2 linked regions of the Astyanax mexicanus genome follow. The protein of the gene in region 2 purifies or fractionates together with the protein of the main gene of each other region. This does not show direct contact. Links are inferred from orthologs where the notes say so. Each region holds a gene or a part of one and is shown on either strand. Other genes may lie near its edges.

Region 1 (8,862 bases), on a different chromosome or scaffold from region 2:
AAACAGAGACTGGGACCAAGTTTACAGAGCTGTACAATCATTTAACCACGGCACACAACACATTCATGATGCCTTTCAGTATCATCATTGTATCTACTTTTAACAAGTTAACTATGTGTTGTGGTTAGTAAGTGGATGGATTAGTGAGGCAAGACCTCTGTGGTAGGGCCTCTGTGGTAAGATCTTGGAGTCCTTGGCCAAGACTCCTAACACTACATTTGACAACCTTGATATAAATGCAAGTCGGTCTGGGTAAAGAGCATTAGCCAAATTCCAATATTACAATATTTTATCATATTGACATACTGTTATCCTGATACACAACACACTTTTTAAGCATATAGTAGGCACTATATTCCTTTATAAAAAGTGAAAGTCTAACAAGTTTAACAACATGAAAACATATTTTGGATACTTTGTGAAAATGTCGCTAAATGTAGTGGAACAATGTAGTGAAACAATACTTTAATACTATTTACTTCCCACCCCTTGTAGCTAGTTGCAACTAGTCTATACACATACTAAATGAACTAATCACATAGGAATAGCAGGTATTAAAATGCAACAACTTTAATAAAAGAAATGGCAGAAAACACACCAAAAACAAAATGAGATCCCATACTAGGCATTTCACAAATGTTTCTGACAACAGACTGTCCCTGAATACACAATAACTTAAATCAGTCATTCTAAGACAACTTTGTGCCACTTATATAGTAGATGATACAGCAACATAAAAAATAACACAATTACTCTCTTAAAGAACAATATTTTTAGTATTAATACTTTGATGTATGTCATCATTCTTAAATATATACACACAAACATTCAATTGAACACAATGGGTAATATCGTGAAAATAATGAGTAAAAATTACTCTTAGTCAACTTATGCCAATACATTGTGCATGATTAGTCAATAATGTTGAGAATTATTATTGTGGCAGGAATACTTTATACTGTCAGAACGTGTAAATATGGTACCTTAGCCAATATATGTGATTGTATATTATACACAATACACATATATATTTTAACAACGTACTATAACATTAATATAGCAAATTTAATTCTACAAAATTTTATACATACATCCCTGAGGTTCCTGGTGTATGATATGTGACTACAATATTAGTAAACATTATGTGTGCTTTAATGGATAAACACAAATCGAAAAAAATTAACTGGTTTCAGTTGTATGTATATAAGGCTGTATAGGGACAAAAATCCCCTCACAATATAGTTATGTTGCACATCATCTAATTTAACAAGAATTTGTAATGATATGTAGATTTTGGTTGTTTTTTAAGCACTGATGAACTCCTGGATACTTATTAAATATATTTGGCTTGATTCAAATACGATAAAATATCTCCATATTGTACAATTTCTACATTTAAACCACAGGAAACCATCACAACCATCACTCAGAGCTGCATCTTCCAATGAATGAGTTGAGGTAGGGTTGTAAATGGCAAAGGTTTTGTTCGTACATGAACACAGCACTAATTCAGAGGTAGCTAACCTACATATGGAAGAACCTACTGACAAGTGCAAACGTGTTCCAACAAGGTGGAAAAGAAGGTCGAAATGTTCACCCTTGTAGCTGAAGTCTGAAACCAAGAATACTTAGCTACGTTGGATAATCATCTTTACCCAAATTGATATCTCAAAATATTTCTTTATTTCAGTCAATTCTATATAATTAATAATACAACCTCAAGTAGAGTGCTTACCTTGGTGCAGGCTCTATCAAGGTAGTCGTGTCCAGGTAATGTATTTTGTAGAACTCCAAAAGCGCGGGCAGATGCTCAAATTCCTGGTCGCCTATCTTGAACCTCTTGCTTGGCAAAGAGTTGATGATATAGTGGGAGACTTTGGAGTTTTCGGACACCGACAGCACGTAATCACCTGGACAGGTGGACGAGTCTCGAACTAAAAACATACCGTGTCTTTGTCCCTGTAACCTACTCTGCGTCTCCTGCCTCGAAAGCGAGCCGAAATACCAACAGTTTCGGTCCGAGGAGTCGAACCGTGCCGACGACATGTCTGATCTTAAATAAATAGCAAACGTTAGTTAGGTTAGACTTAACAATACAATATGTATAAATGTTAGCTATAGAATAAATTAGAAAGACGAGTGTTAGCCTTAATTCTGACTTATTGTAACGTTACAGCACTTTGACACTTTTTAAACGTGCTTTAGTTATAAATAAAGAGCTGAACTTTAGCTAAAACAAAAATGAACTACAACCTGCCGTTTCACAAGACAGGAGTGCAAGCAACCGACACAACCCAACTTAGTAGTTAATTAGTTGCTTTACCATGAATTGCGCTGTGTGTTCTGGCTTTGCAAAGAATAAGCACTGCTTTAAAATAGGTAGATATATATATATTACATTTAGATTATTACAAAAAATGATCGGTCAAAAAAGACAGTTTAAGTGACACCAAATCAAGAGAATACCGAGAATATAGATTAAAGTTCCCCTTTTTCCCTTCCCTCTTCCGCCAAATACCTAGTTAGCTACACAGCTAGCAGACAGCCAGCAAGTTTAAATAATAAACAATATTATTCAGTCAGATTAATTTCTAAAACAATATTATCTAGCTAGTTTAGTTTAAGAAATAACTTAACTATACTGGCCAGCCACCGACAGTTAACTTAACCCTAGTTAAAACTAACTTAGCTCATCTAGTTTGGTTCATGAAACGAATATTAGCAAGCTAACCTAATTAACTGTAGTTCTTTTAGTTGGTTATAAAACAATATATAAGCCAGCTAGATTATTATATTTCCTGAAACAGCATTAACTAGCTAAGCTATTTTAGTTTATTAAAACGTCAATTAAACAATGATTAACCAGCTAATCACGTAACTAACTTATAGTTTAGTTCATGAGACAATAATAGCAAGCTAGCAGCTAATTAGCTAGCCGTCTCAGCACTGTCAGCTCACGATAGAGAAAAGCTCGCCATAGTTAAACTTAAGATTTATTATCTCGCTAAAAACACCGCTCTCTACATCACGATAGCTGCTTCAAAACACAGAACATACGTTAAAGCGTCCATTAACGAGTCCTCAGCAGTATTTCACACGCTAAAAACACCCAAAACAGCGTTTGTCCACGCCTATACTCCAGCAGCTAGCGCAAGCTAACCGACTTCAGTAACAGAGTAACAGTGCCGCTAGCGCTAGCGTTAGGTTAGCTAGCAGTAACAAAGATGGCGGCCTGCAACACGTCTTCTTCACACTAAAACTCTCACACAAATGTGAGCAAATCCTCCACTTTAAAAAGAGATTCCGCAAAATAGCAAAAGTTCTCAAGCGTGAAAGTAGTCCTCGCCGCTCGGGCGCGTCTCTGACACCCGAAAAAGCGGTGTAAAACCCACTCTGTCCCGTTAAATTCAGTTCCCCTGTGAGGATCAGGCAGCTTCAGCCCTCTCCCTCTCCCTCTCGTCAGCTCAGATAGTGTGAGGTGGAGAAATGGAGAAATGGCGTCTGGAGGGCGGGTCTGCTCTCGCCTCTCTGCCGCCGCTTCAAACCGAGAAAATGATGTGCCTGTGAGGCACGACACTCCCCCACTCCTCCCTTTATTTATTTATTTAATTTTTATATTTTTTTATTAGTTATAGAAATAGGTACAGTGATATATTGAAACAGGAAACAAGAAGAAGTAACAGCAACATATCAGCAATGTCAAAGATAGGTAACGTTAAATAACGAAAGAAAGAAAAAAGAAAAATAATAATATATTTTTTTAAATGTTTCGTGTAACATAATATTAAGCTAACAAAATCAACAAAATAACGTAAGAAAAAACGAATGTAATGTAGTAAATAAATCTAAATCTCAATACTAAAAGAAAATGGGGGGGATTGTGCAGACATTACCATTTTTTTTTATTCCACCTTAAATTTTAAATTATTCAGCCTCTGCTGTCTGTTGCACCATTTAAGGTGCAACGGGAAATTTAGCTAGCTACTGAGGCAAACTATTAGCTAGGCCTGTCACGATAAGATTTGTTTGTGGACGATATATCGTCCCAGAAATTATTGTGATACACAATATTTTTTTTGTAATTTTAAGACTATTAAATGCCACTGACACAATGATAACAGAACAGCATAAAAAGGCAGTTATACACTTTTTTTTAAAGACAGCTAAATTTTAATAATTAATCATTTATTATAATTAGTTTGGGAATTATATACTTATTTCTTCACCTACTTTAGTCCTCACAGTGTTCATGTTATAGAGTCAAAGTTATTGAAGCATGACTGACTAAAATACTGTTATATATAACAAAAGGAAGAAAGAAAAAAGAAAAAGAAAAAAAACAGAGGAATTGCAATAATAATCTTAAAAAAGAAGACATTCCATAGTCATCTCATCTTTTGAAAAGACTGCAAAAATAATGAACAGCCACAAGAATTTCTCAAAGTATCTTTTCTTATTATTTATTTAATATTTATTATTATTTAAATTAAATTGTAAAGCTTTAAAACATTTAAGGATCTACCTATTTTTTTATTCAATGAGGGGCCCATTGACTTAATTGTTTGCAAATATATTTTAAAATCAGAGTTTATAAAAGATATATAAGATGGCAGTTTTTTTTTTGTTTTTAGCTTTATGTATGTAATATTTTGCTAATATTATAATAAGGTTGATAATAAATGATTCATTGCAATGAAATAGAGGGTTATTAAAAATATAAAAAATATAGTTACTTTCAAGGGGAATGTCTTTACCAATTTTCTTCCCTAAATTCCAAAATATATCTACCCAAAAAGAGTAGGTATAAACACAATAAAAAAATAAATGATCAATTGTCTCACTACAGTTTTTACAGAAGCTGCAATTTTCAGAGATGGAAACAAATCGACTTACTCAGGAGCTGTGGTGACGATGATGGAGAGAACATTAGCAAAGCCAGTGCTGATCTCTGATTTTGCTATTTATAATTATATGTTTGAGTAAAATTAAAATTGTTTCATTCAATATAAGTTACTACGGACAACAGTTTTTTTTTTTTTTTACAAATAAAAACATTGTCATTTAGAGCAGTTATTTGCAAAAAATGAGAAATGGCTGAAAAAAACAAAAAGATGCAGAGCTTTCAGCCCTAACAAGTTAATATTCATGAAGTTTTAAGAGTTCATAAATCAATATTTGGTGGAATAACCCTGGTTTTAGCTTGGTTTGATGGCTTCTGATTTTTTTTGATGATCATCCATCTTCCGTTTTGAGTATATTCCAGAGGTTTTTAACAAGTTAAATCAAAGAAACTTATCATTTTTTAAGAAGGCTCTGGTTATTATTTTGGGTAAAAATCATATACCTTACACTGTTGTAAGTGTATTAATCTTACAATCTAATAATATCTGATTTATTATTATGTTATTGCATTCTATTTTATTTTATCTTATTTCAACAATTGTACTTGGGTGTAACTGGACAGTGAGAACACAATTTAATTCTACCTCATATACCACATGTGATGTGAATGACAATACTTGCACCCTCTCTTTTCCTATGTTTATAACTTACATGATTTTTCCTGTATCTGCAGTTATGGGGAAAACAATTTTAAGATTTTTTAAGACTTTTTCATAGCAAACAGAGCCATTGAAATTATAACAGCTAAAATATTAAGTTATATCAGTATCGGCCATTATTTTTTAAAACAAGTCTACATTTTTTGGACTGAGACAAAATGTCTAAACTACTTTAAAATTATTTTATTTAAGTTCATTTTTATTTTTATTTTTTTTATATTTTTACTAGTTTCAAAAGATATTTTGTTTTATTTAGACAGTTTATTTTAAATGAGGGTGTAAACCTGTGACCAAATGTAACAATGTTACATACTAAGCAGACAATGCAATCACTATTACTTATTTTGTTTTTACACAATGCTAAAAATAATAAACATAATACTGCACAGGGTTTTGCTTACATGCACCTTTTACAGTGTTCAAATGCACCATTTAAGGTGGAATGGAAAATCTGAACAGAAAACTGGTGAATAAAAACCTAGGTTATATCAGCCACAATTATCTTAATAGTAAAAATAAACGTAATATTTCCATTACAGGTGCATACACATAAATATTACAGAGAAATGTGTTTAAAAAACAACTGTGATGGCTAGGTAGGTTAACTAGGAATAGAGCTAGCTTGGTTACCACAGTATCAGTTAGCCACAAGCTAACAGAAATGTTGGCTAACTTAACTAGGTTAATGTTAATTGATAAACTGAGTAACAACATTGAATTAGTTGTTTGGAATAATGTCTAAAAGCAATTTTGACATGTTATTTACACATGTATAGTAAAATGTCCTGAATAAATAGATTTTATGGTTCTAGTTTAAAGATAGCTTAGCTTAGCATTACCTCAAATCCTGTCAGAAACTTCCACCAACTGACAAAATATTCGAATTTCCCGCGTTTTTTCGCGCTGCTTCCAGCTGTGAGCTGCAGACAGGTGAACACAGCGGTACAGCAGGAATTGTATTTGGTTCTTCACCTGCTTCACCTGCCTACAAAGGTGTTTTAGGGCCACTTTTAAAAAAATAAACACAGATCTGTTTGAGATAAAACCGGCAATATTTAGAGCATAAAGTCACAATATTACAAGTTTAAAGTTGTAATATTTAGAAACTAAAGTCATAATATTTCGAGAATAAAGTTGTAATATTACATAATTAAAATCTAAATATTAAAGTCTAAATAAGCTAAATAAAGTCCTAATAATACAAGAATGAACTTGGAATATTTTGTAAATAAAATCGAAGTGTTATGATATAAAAATTTTAATATGATAAAATAAAAGTCATAATATTTTGAGAATAAAGTTGTAGTATCATAATATTATAAGATGTTATATCATAACAATATATTTTTTATATTTCGGGGGAAAAAATGTGATATTTAAAGAACATTGCCATAATATTTATAGAATCCCGTTTACCCCAAACACTTCTAAAAATAAGAAATACAGATACTGAAACAAAGCTATTAAATTTACACTATTACAGTTTGTCGAGTGGTTGCACATAGGTAAAATACAATATTTTAGAGAATAAACTCGTAATATTTTGATAACAAAGTTGTAATAATACAAGTTTAAAGTCATAATATTTTAAGAATAAGGTCGTAATATTTTTAGAATAAAGTTGTAATATTTCGAGAATAAACTTAAACTCCACATTATTTATTTTTTCATTATTTGCCTTGCTATGCCTTCCAGCAGGAGTTGGTATTAGGCGCCACTGTGTGGTCAGAAGTATTAGTTATAATTCATTTACAGAAATCACTGGCAAATGCCAGAACATGCTTTTGTTGAAAACAGACATATATCGACTATATTAATATTAATATTCACATTCATATTCATATTACTACGTAATACATTTAAATACATATTTTGTTTTAAGTGTCTTTTTTCTAATTCTTTGTGTCTAGAATCTCTATCTTTTTTTCTCCCTTTCTCTCTCTCTTTCTTTTTTGTACACTTTTTCTTTTTTTTTTGCTCTTTTATGCAAAGGTTTATGCATCTGCTTTCCACTATTAAGGCGAGTGTTTTAAACTCTATATATACTATTTTTAATTAAAATGTGCAAATTTAAGGTAACACTTATTCAAAGTCCTTTATTTTTTAGACTTACATTATAGTTAACTTTCTTTAAACGTTATTAGCTAGCTATTTCAAGCCAATTTAAAGTTTATTATCTGTATTATCTTTCTTTTTAGTTTACTTTATTTTCTTTTTTGGTGTTTTTCCTGCAGTTCACTATTCCTTAGTCTTGCTTCACACTCCAGCTCAGTAGGTGGAGGTAATAATGCAGCAGGAAGACTCGGGTTTTGGCGGGGAGCCAGAATTCGGCACAACACCGGGGGTGGAGGGGGGTGAGTTAGCCGGGTTAGCTAGCGTGCTAACGGTGTAGAAGCGGATTTGGATCAGCAGTTCATTCACTCCGCTCGGTGTAACAGCAGCTAGCTAACGCTTCTGGAAGCTATGGATCTTCCCCCGGATAATGACTGGAGGAGTCCGGGATTCCGGCAGAAAGTAGTGGCGCAGATGTGAGTAATATTATTATTTATTAGTAGTAATAATTAACTATCATTACCAGCCGAGTCAGTGCCTTAGCTGAACTGAGCTAGCTCAGTCACTGATTATACTGGGTAGCTAACCTAGCGTAGCTAAGCTAAATACCGCCGCTAGCTAATGCTAAGCTAATACATTTATGGGACGAATTGGGCGCATTTTAGCTACCTAGCTTAGCTTAACGTTATATTAGCTAAGTTAACTAGTTAGCTATACCTTACTGGTTAGCGAAGTTAGCTTAGCTTAGTTTAGATAACCTAATTAGCTGAACGTTTACTCTAAAAAACACACGAAGCCTGTATATAATGTTATACTGTATTAATAACACGTAGTTAACTAATTAGTTAATGCGGTGGACATGCTCTGGTAAGAGAGTACTTAAGTTTCTGAATCAGTTTCTCTGATTTTGCTATTTATAGGAAATTATGTGTTTGAGTAAAATTAACATTGTTGATTTATCCTATAAACTCCGGATAACATTTCTCCCAAATTCCACATATAAATATTGTCATTTAGAACATTTATGGACAGAACATGAGAAATAGCAGTAATAACAAAAAAGATGCAGAGCTTTCAGACCTCAAATAAAGCAAAGAAAACAAGTTCATATTCATTAAGTTTTAAGAGTTCAGAAATAATCAATATTTAGTAGAATAACCCTTGACTAAGTTAACTTATACTACTTGCTTTAATTAAGCTAGGTCACCTTTTATAAAGAGTTTTTACACTTCTCAGAGCTTTTGGGTCC
Region 2 (8,352 bases):
ACATAAAAGGAACATGATATCCCCGTCAAATAAACAAACCTAAAGGATTCATAAACTTTAAATAACTTACAACATAAGCTATAAAAGTGCTTCAGCCAGTATAAGGAAAATATTGTATGTAGTGGAACTGATTGAGGTGGTGGAACAGATTAGATGTTTTAACGTTACCGCTGCTGGTCGGCTCCACTCTCCGGCACAATTTGCAGCAAACTGAAGTTTAGCAGACCTTCCGAGAGTCGAACCAAATCCTCACCACTGAATTAGACCTCCCTCCTTCAATTAATCACTTGTGGAAGCGGCAGGGGCATTCATTTTGCATCAAAAATGTCCCGCGCTGGGAGCCAAGAGGACCCGCGGCTGACAAACAGGATCCGCAACTGACCGCTGACCGAGCGGACCCGTGGGCGGACCGAGCGAACCAGAGGCGGACCGAGCGAACCAGAGGCGGACCGAGCGGACCCGTAGGCGGACCGAGCGAACCCGTAGGCGGACCGAGCGGACCCGTAGGCGGACCGAGCGGACCCGTAGGCGGACCGAGCGGAGCGCGGAACATTTCAGATGCAAACCGAGCCTACCTTAACCTTGGATCCGCTCGTGCCGGCTCCGTTTGGCTCCAGCGCGAGGCATTTTAGATGCGTAGCGGACCCGAGCCTAGCCTAGCCAAATCTAGCCTAGCCTAGCCTATCTGGCTACGTGCCTATGTGATTACGTCATCACGCACAGAGATAGTCCAGCTACGGAAGCTGATTGTGTTCAGCTGTGCGGCGAGCTGACGCCAGTAAATCGCATGTCCGTGACAGATCTGTAAATAATACATATCGATATACCACAAAAATGATATCACCGTTATTGAAACATTTCTTATCGCGATAAATACCGATATCGAAGTATTGTCCAGGCCTAGTTTACAATAATATAATGTGTAAATAATTATTTTAATATAATTTTAGTTAAAGCTAGTACAATGTAAGGCTTTTACAAACATTTATAAGTAATGCAAAATATCGTTTAACATCGGTATGGGCAAAGTTATAGAAGATATCGGTATCTATTTTTTTCCCAATATCGCACACTCCTATCATAGCCGTGTATTCTAATAAAAATGCTAACTAGCACCTTGTAACTAGTGGTGGACAGTAACAAAAACTTTTGACCCATAAGAGCCCAGACCCATTTCTGAATTTTACTACCACTTTAAAATGTAATCAGATAAATTCAGAGAGCAGCCCATTCCTGTTTATTCTTATTGCTGGCACATAACTGTAAATATTTTATGGTTAAAAACATGATGCAACATAAATGACACAATAACAATTTAATAACTATTATTAACATTTTGTTCTAGAAATCAGGTCATGGTTATATGGAATCTTCACCCACATCATTAAGTGTTTAAATTGTTAAATGGTTGGAACAGACTGGAGGCAAATAATACACTATTTAAAGGACAGCTCTACGTATGCATGTGATTTGCATTCCAGCACTGCAAGTATGTAGGTAAGCTAACATGTAAAGATAATCTTTTTTGTTGTTAACAATCTAGCTATCTTGGATTTTCTGGGTGTTCAGGCAAGGGACGGATTCTTCCCAAAAACACATTCCTAAACTCTGCCTTGGTTACTTGGTTCAGGCTGTCTGGAAGGAAAAAAGTTTCCAAATTAAGCTGGCGTCTTGCTTTCAAGATCATATGATTAGTGGTCATCTAAGATAAATTAACAAATCTAGCTAGCTATTTAGTTAGCTGGTTAACCAGGTTCTTTGGTGCTACCTTAATCCACTATAGTGTGAATTTTATTTTTTTATTATATTTCAGCCCACATTTTAGAAGCTTCATATTAATTGCTGGTCATACAACTGAACATTTATCATAAGAAAATATATACAAATCAATAAACAAATAGTTTTAACATATTTGTCATAACAAAGTAGGTTTAACTGCATAATGATGCCCTAAGGCAACAAACAGGAAAAACAAACACTTTCATGGACAAGTATACATCCTTTACATGTATTTAAACTAACATATCCTTTTACTTATGAAAATATTATAATAATAAAATTTTAATAAAAGTCCCTGTTAATCTATCAGTCATAAAAACATCCCCCAACAACTGCACTAGAAACTGGCTTGTTTCCTCAAGGCAACATCACTGTGGGAAAAAAAATAAGAGACCAATTAAAAATGATCTGTTTCTTTGAATTTACCAAATTGAAAATCTCTGAAATATAATAAAGACGAAGGTGGATGATTACAAAACATCAAAACATGCATTTTTGCACAAGGAGTGGCTTAAAGTTATCCAAAAGCAGTAAGGCTGGTGGAGGAAAACATGCCAAGGTGCATGAAAACTGTGATTAAATACCAGGGTTATTTCACCAAATATTGATTTATAAACTCTTAAAACTTTATGAATATGAACTTGTTTTCTTTGCATTATTTCTAGATTTAAAAAGGTTAATAAAAAAACTTAGGTTAATAGTTGCTGGCACAGCGTTTCATGTATCTTTGGTTCCAGAAAATAGTTTACCCCCAACATTACAAATCTAACGAAATTTTAGCTAGCGCGTTAAACGGAGCCTAATTTTTTTTACATAGTCTAACTAACTAACGTTAACTAGGTTAACTAGCTAACCTGACTATTTACCTACGTGGCTATGCATCACTGACATATTAGTAAAGTTATTTAGCACAACTTGAGCAACTTAAGCAGCATTAAATAAAAGACAACTGGCTACAGGTAGCAAGTTACCTAGTTAAGATAACGCTAAGATAACGTTAACTTACCCACATTAGCTTCCTAAACAAGCGTTACCCATCCTATAACCTAGTCTCTGGGCGTTGATAGCTAGCCGGCTAAGTTAGCTAAAGCTAGCTAGCGAGTTAAAGCTCTAATCTGAGAGCACCTTGTCACGACGTGATGGCAGACCCTATATTTAGTAATACAACATGCTGCAGAGCTACAAACTCGTTAACGTGAACTCATTTTCTTAAACAACCGTTGGATTAATAGTGATTAAAAGGCAGACCTGCTGTTAAATACGCACCTCACTTTCCCTAGCAACGTAAAGGTTAAGTATAAAGTTAAAACTTGGCCAATATAAGTTAGTTTGCTAACCAGCAAACTGGCTAAGCTAACTGTTGGGTTAGCTAGGTTAGCTAATGCTGTGTTGTCTGGAACTGTTCAACTGACACTGGTGACGCTAGATAGTTAGCTAAGTTAGCTAACTGATTTATTTTTAGAACTTTAAAACAGGCGTCATTAGCTAATGCTAGCTAACCCTATCGCTCTTTCGCTCTCTCTCTCTCTCAGACACGTAGCTAGCTAGCTAGCCAAATAAGCTAACGCCACTGGTAAAACTGCGTTACGCAGGTTAGCTAAAGTAGCTAAGCTAACGTTAGCAAGCAAGATTCGACAACAAAAGTTGTATTTTCTTCAAAAACATACAATTTCCACGGGAATACTCCATATCCGCATCAATGACGAGCGCAAGCAACGTGTTCCTCAAGTTTTGACGTCCATTCTGTGTCGAAATAAACATCCCAACTCGGCCGCTTTCTCCACTTTCTAACTTCTGCCTCTTCCACCTGATCGGCTCCGTGTGTGTAGGATCAGCAACAGCAGACAGTCTGACTGTCCAGCCGGAGCTCTCTCTCCCCGCCCAGCTGCCACACTCCCAGCAGCCGCGCTCTGCTTTGCCTCACTTCCTCCAACTCACTCCACACCAGCAGCGCAGACTATCATTAAACACTCACTCCTCTAATAGAAATAATACGATATTTAATGCTACTCGTTCTTAAAGTTCTCAAATAAAGGCCATGAAATAGTCGTAATCAATGTATAAACTTTTATCGCTTAAGACAAGCAACGCAGGCAATGCATCGCGCTCCATTTGGTGGCTGATATTTGTTGTTATTGCTGAACAGCACGTCCCCCTCATACCACACAGCAGATGTACATTATCCTGAAACAGTGAGAATTTACTGTTACAAAAAGTTTATAAAGTTTATTTTGTCTTATTTATATATATTTACTTATAGATACACAATGATTACAAATTGATGCCACTATCAACAAGCACATTCTTTACACAAATTGAAAATGTAAGCCAAATATTGGTAAATCAGGCGTTTTACAACCACAATAATAATAATAATATATTTTGTTTCTCTAGGCCTTAAAGTTTGTTTGTATCTAGGCCTTACCAATTATTATTAATATGTCTTTGAACAAACAAAACAACGAAAAAGTTCGTTTTTTAAATTATTTTAGTGTCTTTTGAATTCCTTTACAATAATGGAAAAGCCTGGTCATTTTAAATACTATGCAAAAGTACAAGAAATCTTAATTGTAAATGTATTGACCTTTTTGGGATATAACAAACATGATCCAAAGAATATGAAAAATGACCAGAAACAAGGAAGATAATACAATGAAAAAAATAAATTGCTTATGAAATCTAAGGCAAACACATTTGTTGATTGTCTTGTTTATTGTCTTGCATCTGAGTAGGTAAAGGGTCAACGCCATAAATTGCATGTCTCTAGGGTTTGCTGTTCGGTCTGTGAGATTCATTTCAATGCAGGAAATGAGTAAAAAATAAAAATAACAAAACACTACGGTTACTTATGGAATCCCATTCCTGCCACCTAAATAAAAAACATCAGCAGAGAAAGAAACATCTCGTTATTTTGAGTTACTATCCCATTATATTATATATAGGGAATACAATGTACTATTGAGATTTCAAACAGCCCTAAAGCACACCATTTAGTGCACTTTTTTTTCTGTAATAGGGAGCTATTCTGAATGCAGCTATTGTGTTGCAGAACAATTACGTACTGTAAACTGTTCATTTAATAATTATTTTTTTTCTTTATAATAGGTAAACAAATGTTTAATACCTAAAGCTAACTGCATTACATTGATCATTTTTTCAATGTGTAAATATACTCACTAATAAAAAATAAAAAGGTAGTGAGGGCAGCAAGGCATCAAGTCAGCTTGTCCTGCGTTTTAGATATACCCACAGAGATATAGCTCAATATTACCATGATATTATTATGCTGTTCTGCCCTCTAGCGGCTGAACCAGCTCTTAACATTTTCTTCTCGGAAGAGAATGAGACGTTCTCCTTCTCCACAGACAGCAGACTCGCTCCGAGCATCATCCGCGGAGCTGCCATTCAGGCCTGCAGGCTTCATGATCGCTGAGTGAAGCGGAGCGCTGCTAACGCTACGCCGCCAGACCGCGGGGCTGAGAGCCACACGCCGTGCGCCATGGTCCGGGACAAAAAGGACAGGGACAGCTGGGGTGAGTGCGTGTCCGTTTAAACCACCACCCACGGATGGATGTCCTGGATGGAGCTGCCTGGAGGAAATTGTGTTATTGTGAGGCCGAGCCGAGAGCCAGAGACAGGGCGTGATAGGGTGATCTGTGTGTTTTCTGAGCCACAGTCCGCTTCCATAGCTAATATACACGCACACACACACACACACACACACACACACACACACACACACACACACACATAATACATATGCACACATAGAGCCCCAATGACAGGGGGTTGTTTATTCCCTGCCTGCATGTGAATATAGCTCATCCCTGAGCCCTGCATGTCTGCATGTTTGCTGAACAGAAATTAAATAGCATTAAACGTGTAGATCATAAAAAATAATAAATAGACATAAACAGACTACAGTCCAGACTGGTCCAGAGTCCAATCGGCCAATCACATGGCACAGGCTCCGTTTCTTAACGGGATTAAGGCTCTGCACCAAGATACGACCACAGTGAACCTCCTCATATACTCATATACTCAGATCATAATCTTAAAACTAGCATATTTATCCAATACACACATGAATAGCTTTACTGCGGTGTTGATGTTATTGTTGTTGTTGCTGATGCAGCTGTAGATGGCTAGTTAACTAACCTGTCATAGAATAGCTGCACGCACAGTGGCGTATTAAAAATACAGCTCTCTAATGCTGCAGGTATGCAGGAATGTGTGTTTGTGATGTTGGGCGTCTTGAAGTTCATGGCTGCTGAATGTTGGTGAGCAGCAGCGGTGACCTACATACAGCAGCAACAGCAGCACTGGCTCTGTAGCTGTTAGATAGCTACCCAACAAATAATGACGTGTGGTGGAGATGCTGCCTCCCTCACAAGATGTCCATGGGCGTGTGTATGTGTGTGTGTGTAACCTATGTAGCTATGTGTGTGGCCTGTTACACCACTGTCCAGGCTAGGCTAGCGTGAGTGTGCATGATAGAGAGAGAGAGAGAGAGAGAGAGAGGGGAGAGAGAGAGGGAGAGAGATGCAGTGTGTGTTGGAGAAACAGAGATATCTACTGGGTCACAAGAAACAAGAGAATGGATTAGGGTGTGAATAATTCACTGTGGAGAGAGAGAATGTGTGTGTCTGTCTGTGTGCTGTGTTAATGCTAATTCTGTCATCATCCCAAATGTGTGTGTCTGCCCCGCTTGATAAAATAATCAGCAGCAAGTCTGTATCACATCCCTTATTATGTAATATCACACCAGATTTGCCATGGTATATATCACAGGGATTTTATGATGTTTGCACAATTGTTTTGATTGCTGACTACTTGGAAATAAGTAATTTCATTGGTTTCCTGAATATGGAGTAAATCTAGAATCTAGTGTTTCACTATTAAAAAGCCTATTAAACCTAGTGAGAAACTGGTTAAGATGGTTAACCAGCTTTAATTCTTGACCAGCATTGTGTGATGTTTGAGGTGCAAGCATGATTAACCTTATCAAGCTGAATTACCAAGCTTGATCAGCATCACCTACAAGCTTCATGGCCAGTGCAGGGCCATTGTATTAGCATGGCCAGCATCACTTGGTCCTTTTCCAGTGGTCAATGTACCTCAGCAAGTATTGATTTGAAATATGTAGGCACATATAATTCTGAAATCATTGTGCATCCCTATTTAATCTATTTAGCAAAAGCTAGTCTTCAACTAGATTTTTTAGCAGGAGATGTGATATGAATTAATGTGAATGAAGGAAACCACATGGTTTCTGTTGTGGTTATCTTCCCCCGTGCTGTCTTTGTTCTGCTACATGTTGTCTGAAGGTTTTTGACAGAAAGACAGGTAAAATGATGGATGAGTTCCGTCCCACTCCTGCAAGTGTGAGAGACTCATGTGAGAGCAGTCAGTGTGAGAAGAAAATAAAACTAAAGCTTGAAATTGAGCCACTACCTCAGGGCAGCTTTCATTTAGCATTTATGTAGAGGCCTATCCTTTCTTAAAGCCCTTAAGCTCTAGGATTATTATCAGCTATTAATGTTAACACTTTTTATGCAGTAACTACTGAAATGGTTGTCCTCTTCTGTAATCATTCATTCATTACAATGAAATGATTGTGCAAGTTATGAGACAGGTCCTCTTAAGTGTAAGTGTCAGAGATGACAGAGATAAGTGAAAGTGAGGTGCATTAAGAGTGCACCATGCTGGCAGCGCTGTAACTGTACTATAAAGCAGAGGAGATGCTTTAAATCAGTCAGAGTTGTCTATTTAGAATTGTGGTCTAATAAAGAACCTTAGAGGAGCTGCTATTTAAGGTTATCTAGTTTATTAACCTTTCATTTTTTTAGGGGTTGAATTAGGAAAGACAGCACAGATCAGTGCATAATTTGTTTATAATACTGTATATGTGTATATCTGTATATGTGTGTGTGTGTGTGTGTAACAGGGTCATTTGTGGATAAGAATGTATATGACTGGAGCTCAGAGGACGAGGAGCAAGACACCAGGGCCCGTCCAGTGCAGGTGCTGGTGGTGAAGGATGACCACTCGTTTGAGCTGGACGAGGCGGCGTTGAGTCGTATCCTGCTGGCTGAGGAGCTCAGGGACAGAGAGGTGGTGGCAGTCTCTGTAGCTGGAGCTTTCCGGAAGGGCAAGTCTTTCCTCATGGATTTCATGCTGCGCTACATGTACAACCAGGTAAAATCACCTGTTTTTCTTCTGATTCATTTAATTAATGAATTAAGTATTGAAGTACAACAATTTTTGGTCTTTTAACAGTGGGCAGACTCATAAAACATAAGACCCTGTGTGTGGACATGTGGACCAACACTTCAGTTTTACACACTCATTACTATGTAACATACACATTGGTATTACAGAAGTACAGAAAAAAAGATTTAATTTGTAACAAGAGTGGATTTTTTTCTAACCACCCAAATCATTTAAGCATCATAATACATTTATAAAAATTATTATTCTTTAAAATACATTTACTGAACAATATGCTTTAAGATCACCAAACTAAACAAAAAGTTCAAGATATTAAACTCAGTAGATAGACGGTAGAGAGGG

What was found. The genes of interacting proteins can lie anywhere in the genome.
Region 1: the proteins of map4k5 (region 2) and crkl purify together in Homo sapiens (affinity purification with western blotting; 3 studies listed by BioGRID and IntAct, with this or other methods). This does not show direct contact. The link is inferred for Astyanax mexicanus from reciprocal best matches to the Homo sapiens genes MAP4K5 and CRKL.

The regions. Positions count from the first base shown.
Region 1 is NC_064424.1:2,441,536-2,450,397, reverse strand, and holds the start of crkl (crk-like protein), read right to left. Parts: upstream 3,519-8,862; 5' UTR 2,047-3,518; coding exon 1,736-2,046; intron 1-1,735. Other genes in the region: med15 (mediator of RNA polymerase II transcription subunit 15), read left to right, coding at 8,025-8,089. UniProt on the Homo sapiens protein: May mediate the transduction of intracellular signals.
Region 2 is NC_064414.1:39,114,501-39,122,852, reverse strand, and holds the start of map4k5 (mitogen-activated protein kinase kinase kinase kinase 5), read right to left. Parts: upstream 3,835-8,352; 5' UTR 3,447-3,834; intron 1-3,446. Other genes in the region: atl1 (atlastin-1), read left to right, coding at 5,279-5,312, 7,727-7,977. UniProt on the Homo sapiens protein: May play a role in the response to environmental stress. Appears to act upstream of the JUN N-terminal pathway.